2 linked regions of the Mus musculus genome follow. The protein of the gene in region 2 binds, or shares a complex with, the protein of the main gene of each other region. Links are inferred from orthologs where the notes say so. Each region holds a gene or a part of one and is shown on either strand. Other genes may lie near its edges.

What was found. The genes of interacting proteins can lie anywhere in the genome.
Region 1: Cenpa (region 2) and Cenpc1 share a complex: the UniProt entries of both Homo sapiens proteins name them as parts of the CENPA-NAC complex. The link is inferred for Mus musculus from reciprocal best matches to the Homo sapiens genes CENPA and CENPC.

The regions. Positions count from the first base shown.
Region 1 is NC_000071.6:86,034,532-86,038,180, forward strand, and holds part of Cenpc1 (centromere protein C), read right to left. Parts: intron 3,383-3,649; coding exon 2,781-3,382; intron 1,059-2,780; coding exon 885-1,058; intron 1-884. UniProt on the Homo sapiens protein: Component of the CENPA-NAC (nucleosome-associated) complex, a complex that plays a central role in assembly of kinetochore proteins, mitotic progression and chromosome segregation.
Region 2 is NC_000071.6:30,665,394-30,669,760, forward strand, and holds the start of Cenpa (histone H3-like centromeric protein A), read left to right. Parts: upstream 1-1,492; 5' UTR 1,493-1,635; coding exon 1,636-1,720; intron 1,721-3,605; exon of another isoform or gene 3,606-3,659; intron 3,660-4,298; exon of another isoform or gene 4,299-4,367. UniProt on the Homo sapiens protein: Histone H3-like nucleosomal protein that is specifically found in centromeric nucleosomes. Replaces conventional H3 in the nucleosome core of centromeric chromatin that serves as an assembly site for the inner kinetochore.

The DNA.
Region 1 (3,649 bases), about 55 Mb from region 2:
TAAACTTAGCATGTTTGTTCAAATGATCTGGCTCACTGAATACTGACACCATTACATTTACATAAAAATATACATACCAATTTAATAAGTTAAATTTTTTCCACATCATTTTTTTAAATTCTTTTGTTTTCAATTGCATTTGCAGGACATGTACTAGATTTTTTTAATCCCATTATAAACTTCCTTAAATAATCTTTTCTCTCACTTTGCACATTAATTGCCTGACCATCTATAATGGACCTAATATGCTAGGAGATGGGTCTAGGCATGCCTACGCTAGCTTAGTTGTGTTAATGTTAGCTAAGGCGAGCAGACCCACCCAGGGCAAGCGGGTGGCACCATTCCTTGGCTACCATCTTAGATCCTGGATGATACAGAGTGGAGAAAGTACATGCATTCTTCTTTGGATCCTGACTTGGATACAATCTCAGGGGCTAGCCTCCTCAGACCATGTCTTACCTTCTAGAAGGCCAAAAGAAATCCTTTTTCTCATAAGTTGCACTTATCAGAGTATTTTATCACAGCAAGAGAAAAGACATAATCCTTAAGATCTGTTTCCCATAATTCCAAGTTTCTCAGTTTATCATCTTTCTTTGTAGGTGCTAACATTGTACCAAAATAGTACTCAAGTCTACCTATTCACCCCTCCTGTCTTTCTCGACTTTACCCTTCATCTCCATGAGCACAAGGACTTTTGACTTTGTCCACAGCACATGTCTACATACAGAGCACTGGAGAACTTTATACTTCAGTTGACAATAGTGAATCCATTTAACTTTATCTTCATAAAAGTTTTCTATGTAATGAGAATAATTCACACATAACATCATAGAGAATGACTGTAGGGACCCTTCAATAAAGATAATTTAAATAAATATACTTACTTTCATCTGATTTTACCCTCCACCACTCAGATGGACGCTGAGAAATTCTACAACTTCTCCTGGAAGTCAAAGTTACTTTTTTGGGAACAAATTTGTTCTTGGACCCACCAGAAAAAAATTTCTTTCCAGATTTTTCCTTATTGGTTTGGGTGCTATTGGTTTTTTTCTTATTTTCTAATTTAAAGAAAAACCACAAAAAATATTCAGAATATGTTTTCAGAAGTTCACAAAAGATTTTAGTTAAATAAAACTCAATTACAAAAACATTTTACATTATGCAATGAGCTATTTTATTTCCACCACTGTTTTTTTAAAAGAGAGCATGTTTTCAATAAGATGTGATTTTCTGTCAATTAAATGTAAACATTGCTCACTGCTTGTCATAAACTAAAAGAGGAATGTGTGTACCTGTGCATTCAGGGACATGCGGACAGGTATACACGTGTGCAAACCAGCAGACAACCCTAAATGTCACCTCTTCTCATTTATGTATTCATTTACATTTTATTGAGAGAGCTACTGCCTGTAACTCAGCATTAAGGCTATGCTGGCTGACCATCAAGCCCCAGGGATCGGCCTATCCTTGCCTCTCTAGCACTGGTATTACAAATGCATGAAACCACAACAGCTATAATTGTTTGACTTGGGGCTTGGCGATCAAACTCAGGTCATTCTGCTCGGAAGGCAAGCACTAAGCTGTCTAGCTCCTTAAGCTGACTGCCTTTTGAAAGACAAAACATTGTCTCTTTGTACTTACCACTACTCAAAACCAAGACAGGAAGTTACTGCCTCTCATTTTAATTATTTTGAAACCTTATTTTGGAAGAAGATACTGACTATGACTAAATTATAAACCTTGAAATGATGTTACTCTGGATTAACCTTACTGGCTCAATCCATGTATCCTTAAAACTTGTGATTGCACAGGAATTGAGATGATAGCAGAGAAGCAAAAAATTAGTGACAGAAGAAACTAGCCATTACTAGCTTTGATGATGGAGAAGGAGCAAGTCTAGGATTATGGGTAAGTAGATAGGATGGAAAAAGCAAGGAGCTAACCCTTTCACAAACACACTAGAAGGAACAGAGCTACACAAAGATCCTTCAGTTGTCTCAGTACCATGAAATTTTTGACCTAAAGAACTCCGTAAGATTTTTTTTACAAGTGCTGGAGAGACGGCTCAGCCATTAGGAGCACTGACTGCTCTTCCAGAAGTCCTGAGTTCAATTCCCAGCAACCACATGGTGGCTCACAACCATCTGTAATGGAATCCCATGCCCTCTTCTAGTGTGTCTGAAGACAGCAACAGTGTACTCATATACATAAAATAAGTAAATAAAGCTATGTATTTATTTTAAAAAAAAGATTTTAAAAATATTAAATGTGTTGTTTAATCTACTAAGTTTGTGGCAATTTGTAACAATGAAAAATCACAATCAGTATAGTAAGATATCAGAACAATATATTCATTAACCAGTCGATATTCAAAAGTATTTATGAAGCTATAAAGCTCATATGGCAATATTGGGTAGAGATGTATTTTCTGTTCCTCTACTTTCATCCTATACACATCCATATAGCTATGTCAATCTGCATACCCCATAAAAATGACCAAGTAGCAGGGGAAAACATATCATTAACTTGTTTAGTCTTTCACTTCTCCATGTATGTTTCCGCCTTAGGAATGTTAAATTAAAAAAAAAAAAAAAAAAAAAAAAATCAAGTGACTCTGTCCTGAACTATACCTAGAGAGGTTCCCAAGAATAACCCCAAAGGTGGGTCAACCTTTAGAGAAGCTTTCTGTTGCTCACCTCCCAAAGACAGGAGAAATATTAACAATTATAAAATGATGCAAGAGTATTCACACTCCGAGCCGAGCTGACATGTTCACTTACCAAGAGCTGGCTTCTGTTTCTTGGGATTAGGCTCATTCCTCACCTCTTCACAGTCCTTCATATTTCTTTTCGAGTTGATCTGTAGCTTGTCTTGGCCAGTGTTTGACACATTGCTATTTTCCCAGCTACTCTGTCCCTTCCTGAGCTCTTCAGCTGCTTTAGGCTTAGACACTCTCCTCTGGCTCTGTTTCGTAGTCCTTTCCCATGCGGGTGGGGTTTTGGCAGTCTCAGATTGCATTTTATTTTCAGGAGATCGACAATCATTTTCCAACTCATCTGTACAAGTAGTTGCCGGGTTTTCTTCAACAGAGAGCTGAGCTTCCTCTATTGGGTGAGCCTTATCAGACTGTGTGTTTCTTGCAAACGTCATTGCAGATAAACTATGAGATTTCTCTCTTGACTTCTTACCTTGAAGCAGTGCAGTGTTTTCAGGAGATGGCTTGTGGGCGCTCAGATGCCTGTCTTTGCTTGGTATCATCACCCAAAGTCGACTTGAAAAACTTCTATCTGACCGATCAATAATAAATTCATCTTCTAATAATTTCATGTCACTTGGAGGAGGCGGAGAAAATGGAACTGCTGCTGTGTGCCTGACCACAGAACTAAAACAAAACATTACTGCAACACTTTAGAGAGACGGAAGCTTCATCTTTGTTTACTGAATAAACATTTTATACAGGGAATAACATCTCTATCTGTTTAAAAAAAGCAGTTCACATTACCCCTCAATTTTCTTTAATATTCCCTCCATTTTATAATAATAAGATCATAGGAATTTAAAGCTGGGTATCTACTTTAATGCCCTTCATTAAATATATATACTAAAACCTTGAAATTCATAGCTGTAGAATTATAACCAAAATGTATTT
Region 2 (4,367 bases):
GCCAGGTACCCAAAGAAGAAACCACAAATCACAGCATCTGGCCCAGACTTCCACTGTTTCCCCTTCCGGCCTGGTGAAGGAAGATACAAGCTGTGGATCTTCATTTCGGATTTTGCCCTGCGTTCTTCCGGTGCCCCACCCCCACTTGCAGTACAACAGTCCGATTGGTTCAAAAGCCAAAATATGCAAAACTACGTACGTTAATAAGCACTACCCTCCTCTTATGCCTTAACCCACACACCATTACAGTTATATAGGTAGTATCATCAGTTTCTTATGAATCGTAGAGTCTGTCCTCAATCTAGCTTTCTCCTTCTAGTTTACTAAAGGGCTATCTGTCTAGAGCAGACTTCATACACGGATATTATCTGACTAATTAACAGTTGCTGAGGATCCTGATGTCTTCATATATATATATATGGACTTCTGGATCATATAGTAATTCTATGTTTAAATTTCATGTCTGTTGGTAAAATACTGGAGATTGAACGAGTTGGTTGTTGGTCTTTTGTTTATTTGAGACAAAAATAAAATAAAATAAATAAGATAAAATCTTGCTCATAGCTCTGACTAGTCTGGAACTCACTATGTAGGTCTACTGGCCCTGTCCTTATAACAAACCTGCTTTTACTTCCCAAGTGCTGGGATTAAAGGAATACACAGATGAAGTCAGAGCACCTGTGGCCCAACCTCTGAACACTGCTGCACAGAGGACACCAAACTTTTGGAGGACATTTCAGATTCGAACCATGACACATTTCCATAGCAGCTGTGCCATTTTACACCACCCACCCCAATGTTCCACCAGGCTTCTATGAAACCACTGATTATATAAGTATTTTCCTGATTAGAGTACACGTTCATGATAGATCATTTAGAAAACTCAAAAAAGCAAAATGACGAAATTCTCTTTATTCTAATTACGGAGCCATGACCTGAATTCATATTACTCCCGGGAGAAAAGGAAAAGCCGGTTTTTTTCTCAGGCAATTCTGTCATTGTGTTTGATAGCATGGTCCAATAATAGTGCTGGCGCCTGCCCTGCCTGGACCTTGTCCTCAGATTCCTCCGTCCTGGCTGTCCCCACGACCCTATCTTCTGAAAAGGTCATGCAGTTAACCAGGCTTCTGAATCATATTTGCTGGTTGCTTTCAGGAGTGTCACGGGTGCTGTGTGGAGCTGTCACATTCTTGGGCATCTGTTTCCGTATTTTTAAAGCCACCTCAACGTTTGATAGAAAAGCATAAAACTTTTGAGGAAGTGAGCTCTACAAACCCACCACCCACGTAAGAACTGAGCCGTCCTGCCCAGAGGGCATCTGAAAAAGAGATCAACAGGAAAAGGGTGGGGAAATCCTGCCTTCCTTCCCGTCTTCAAGTACCCATTGGCTTCAGACCTTTATTCTCATTGGTTTATCTGGATGTCGCTCCACGCTGGCTTTCCAGAACCAGCCACTGAGAGTCACAAAGTTGGGATTTAAAAGATGCGGTGGGAGGGGCGGGTGATTTTTTGAACTGCTGGCGACCGAGTTCTGGCGGTCCTGACGCGCACCTTGGGCTTGCTCGCGTTCGGTTTCGGCAGCAGGACCAAGAAGGCTTAGGGAAGGCGGCGGGACCCGGCCCCTCGAGGCCAGCCATGGGCCCGCGTCGCAAACCGCAGACCCCAAGGAGGAGACCCTCCAGCCCGGCGCCTGGACCCTCGCGACAGAGCTCCAGTGTAGGTAAGCGAGCCTGCCCTGCACCTCCGAGGCCGGTGCGGTCATCCTGTGGGGCCGGGCCTGTAGAGGGACGGTTCCTGGTCACGGCTTGCCGCTAACCTCGCGTAGGGGTAATGGTTTTTTTGTTTATTTGTTTGTTTGTTTGCTTGTTTGTTCCTGACCGGTTTACAGCAGGGAGAAAAACGAAATGCAGACAAGACAAGGAGTTGGAGCAAAGACAAACTCATTCTGACGGACACGGGGTCTTTTTTTGCATTTATTTACTTTGCATGTATTTTGCATTTATTTTGTGTTCGTGCTCTGGCGACGGCCAGAAGAGAGCGTCGGAACCCCGGGGCCGGAGTTACAGTTGTGAGCTGCCCTTTTTTTTAGAGTGCTAGGAAGAGAACTCGGCCCCCCTGGAAGAGCAGCCTGGGCTATTAACAGCTGAACCAGCTTTCTAACTCCTACTCTTTATTATTTATTTGCAGCACTAGAGATGGAACCCAGGACTCCGTGTATGTTAGGCAAGGGTTCTACTACAGAACTATATCCCCAACCCTCTCCCCGACCCTTTTTTTTTTAAGACGGGAACTCGGTATGTATCGGTGTGTAGCCTTGGCTTGCTGACCTGAAACGTGCTATGTAGACTAGGCTAGCCTAGAGCTCACAGATCTCTGCCTGTGTTGGGGATGGTTGTATGCAGTGTGTATTCAGGAACTATTTCTGAGATCTGGTTACAATCCAGACACTGCCTCAATGTGATGTAAAAACTGTTTTCCATCACCTCTGATTGGTTAATGAGCTGATCAACCAATTGGCTGGGCAGAAGAAAGAAGAGTGGGACTTCTGTTCCCAATCAGAGGGTCCTGAAGAGACCAGGTGAGAAGAAGAGATGGAGAGACCATGTGGGTGAAGAAGGATTACTCATGAGGTCTGGATAAGAGAGCAGCCATGAGGACCCACATGGACCAGAGAGAGCCAGGGCAAGATCAGATGGCAAATAATGGGTCATATAGCCTGGTAACAGCAGCCTAGCCGGGTTAGAATATCTCAGAACCGCCGGGCGCGGTGGCGCACGCCTTTAATCCCAGCACTCGGGAGGCAGAGGCAGGCGGATTTCTGAGTTCGAGGCCAGCCTGGTCTACAAAGTGAGTTCCAGGACAGCCAGAGCTATACAGAGAAACCCTGCCTCAAAAAAAAAAAAAAAGAATATCTCAGAACCTACCTAGCTTAATGCCAGCAGCTTGTTAATAAAAAGGGGGGTAAGGAAGGACTTAGAATTAGATTTACATGCCTGCTTCTGCTTCTCTGGTGCTTGGATTAAAGGCATGCACCACCACATTCTATTTCTCATTGAGGTATGGTGAGCCCCTAAGGGAATAATGTGGTCATGGTTGTACCGCTCGACCAGAGCTGATGTTCGATGTGGACTTCCAGTGTAGAAGCAACCTTCCATTACTCTTATCTTAGGGAAAAGTTTTACATCAGCTGCGCCCACTTCTTGGCTCTCCTACTGCCCTTGTCTGCTGACCTTGTTCTTCCAGCCATTTGGTGCTTTTTATTCCCCCCTCCTTCCTCTCCATTCAGCCTCAGGCCTTGCTAGGTGCCCCCTCCTTTCCCAAGTCAACCAACCCTTCTTTTATGTGGGCCCTTAGACATATCTCCCTTTTGTGCTGTAAGGGACTTTGTGTTGTTCTTGCTACATAACAGCTCACGGCCATCTGTAACTCCATTTCCAGGGGATCCTTCTGGCCTCTGCAGGTACTGCACACACACAGACATGCACATAGGCAAAACAGATACACATACACATAGAATAAAATAAAACCATTTTAGGTGTGTGACAGTGACATCCATGTGTCCCAGGCTAACCCTGAGCTCAGGACACCCTGTCTCTGTATTCCAGGTGTTGGAACTGTAGGTGAGGGCCTGTGGGCCTGACTGGAGAGAGCTTTAGTGTGTAAGTCCTGCTTGAAATTCTCGGGCTCCCACCTGCTAACGTTGACCTTTGAGACCCAGCCTCAGGGTGTTTGAATGCAGTTCTTTCCAGGTCATCTCTGATCACTTCCGTTTCATAAACACCTGTTTGTGTATCATGAGTCTTGGAGTTCTCTTCCTCTTCTATTTCTCAAAATCTTTCTTTTCTGGGAGAGAATAAGTTCTCTCCATGTAGCCCAGTGGAGGTTCCTACCTCTGCCTCTCAGCGATGGATCGCACACGGCACGGCATTCAGTTCTCTCGCTATTCAAACTCCTTGAGTATAGTTTATTTTGATTCTTGGTTTTGGCTCCTTTTCCTTCTGGTGTTAGTCACATTCTTTGGTGGTCTCTAGTTGTGTTGCCTTCATTTTCTGTGAGTGTGTACCTGTTAACATCACCCTCTAGCCCCCAAAAGCCCAGATCTCGAAAATGGTGGGGTGGGGAGGAGGCAGCCATTTGTAGTTTATCTTTTAGTTATGGCCCATCATAGCTAGCTTCAGTTGACAGCCTGATACAAACCCAGGAAGGAGGAACTTCAACTGAGCAATTACTTCTATCAAACTGGCTGGCCTGTGGCCATGTCTGTTAAGCATTTTTTTTTAATTGCTTATCTTTGTCAGAGGGCCAAGTCCACTGTAGCCCACCACCTCCTATCTGGATTTAAAGATAGGGGAGCAGGCCGTAAGCAG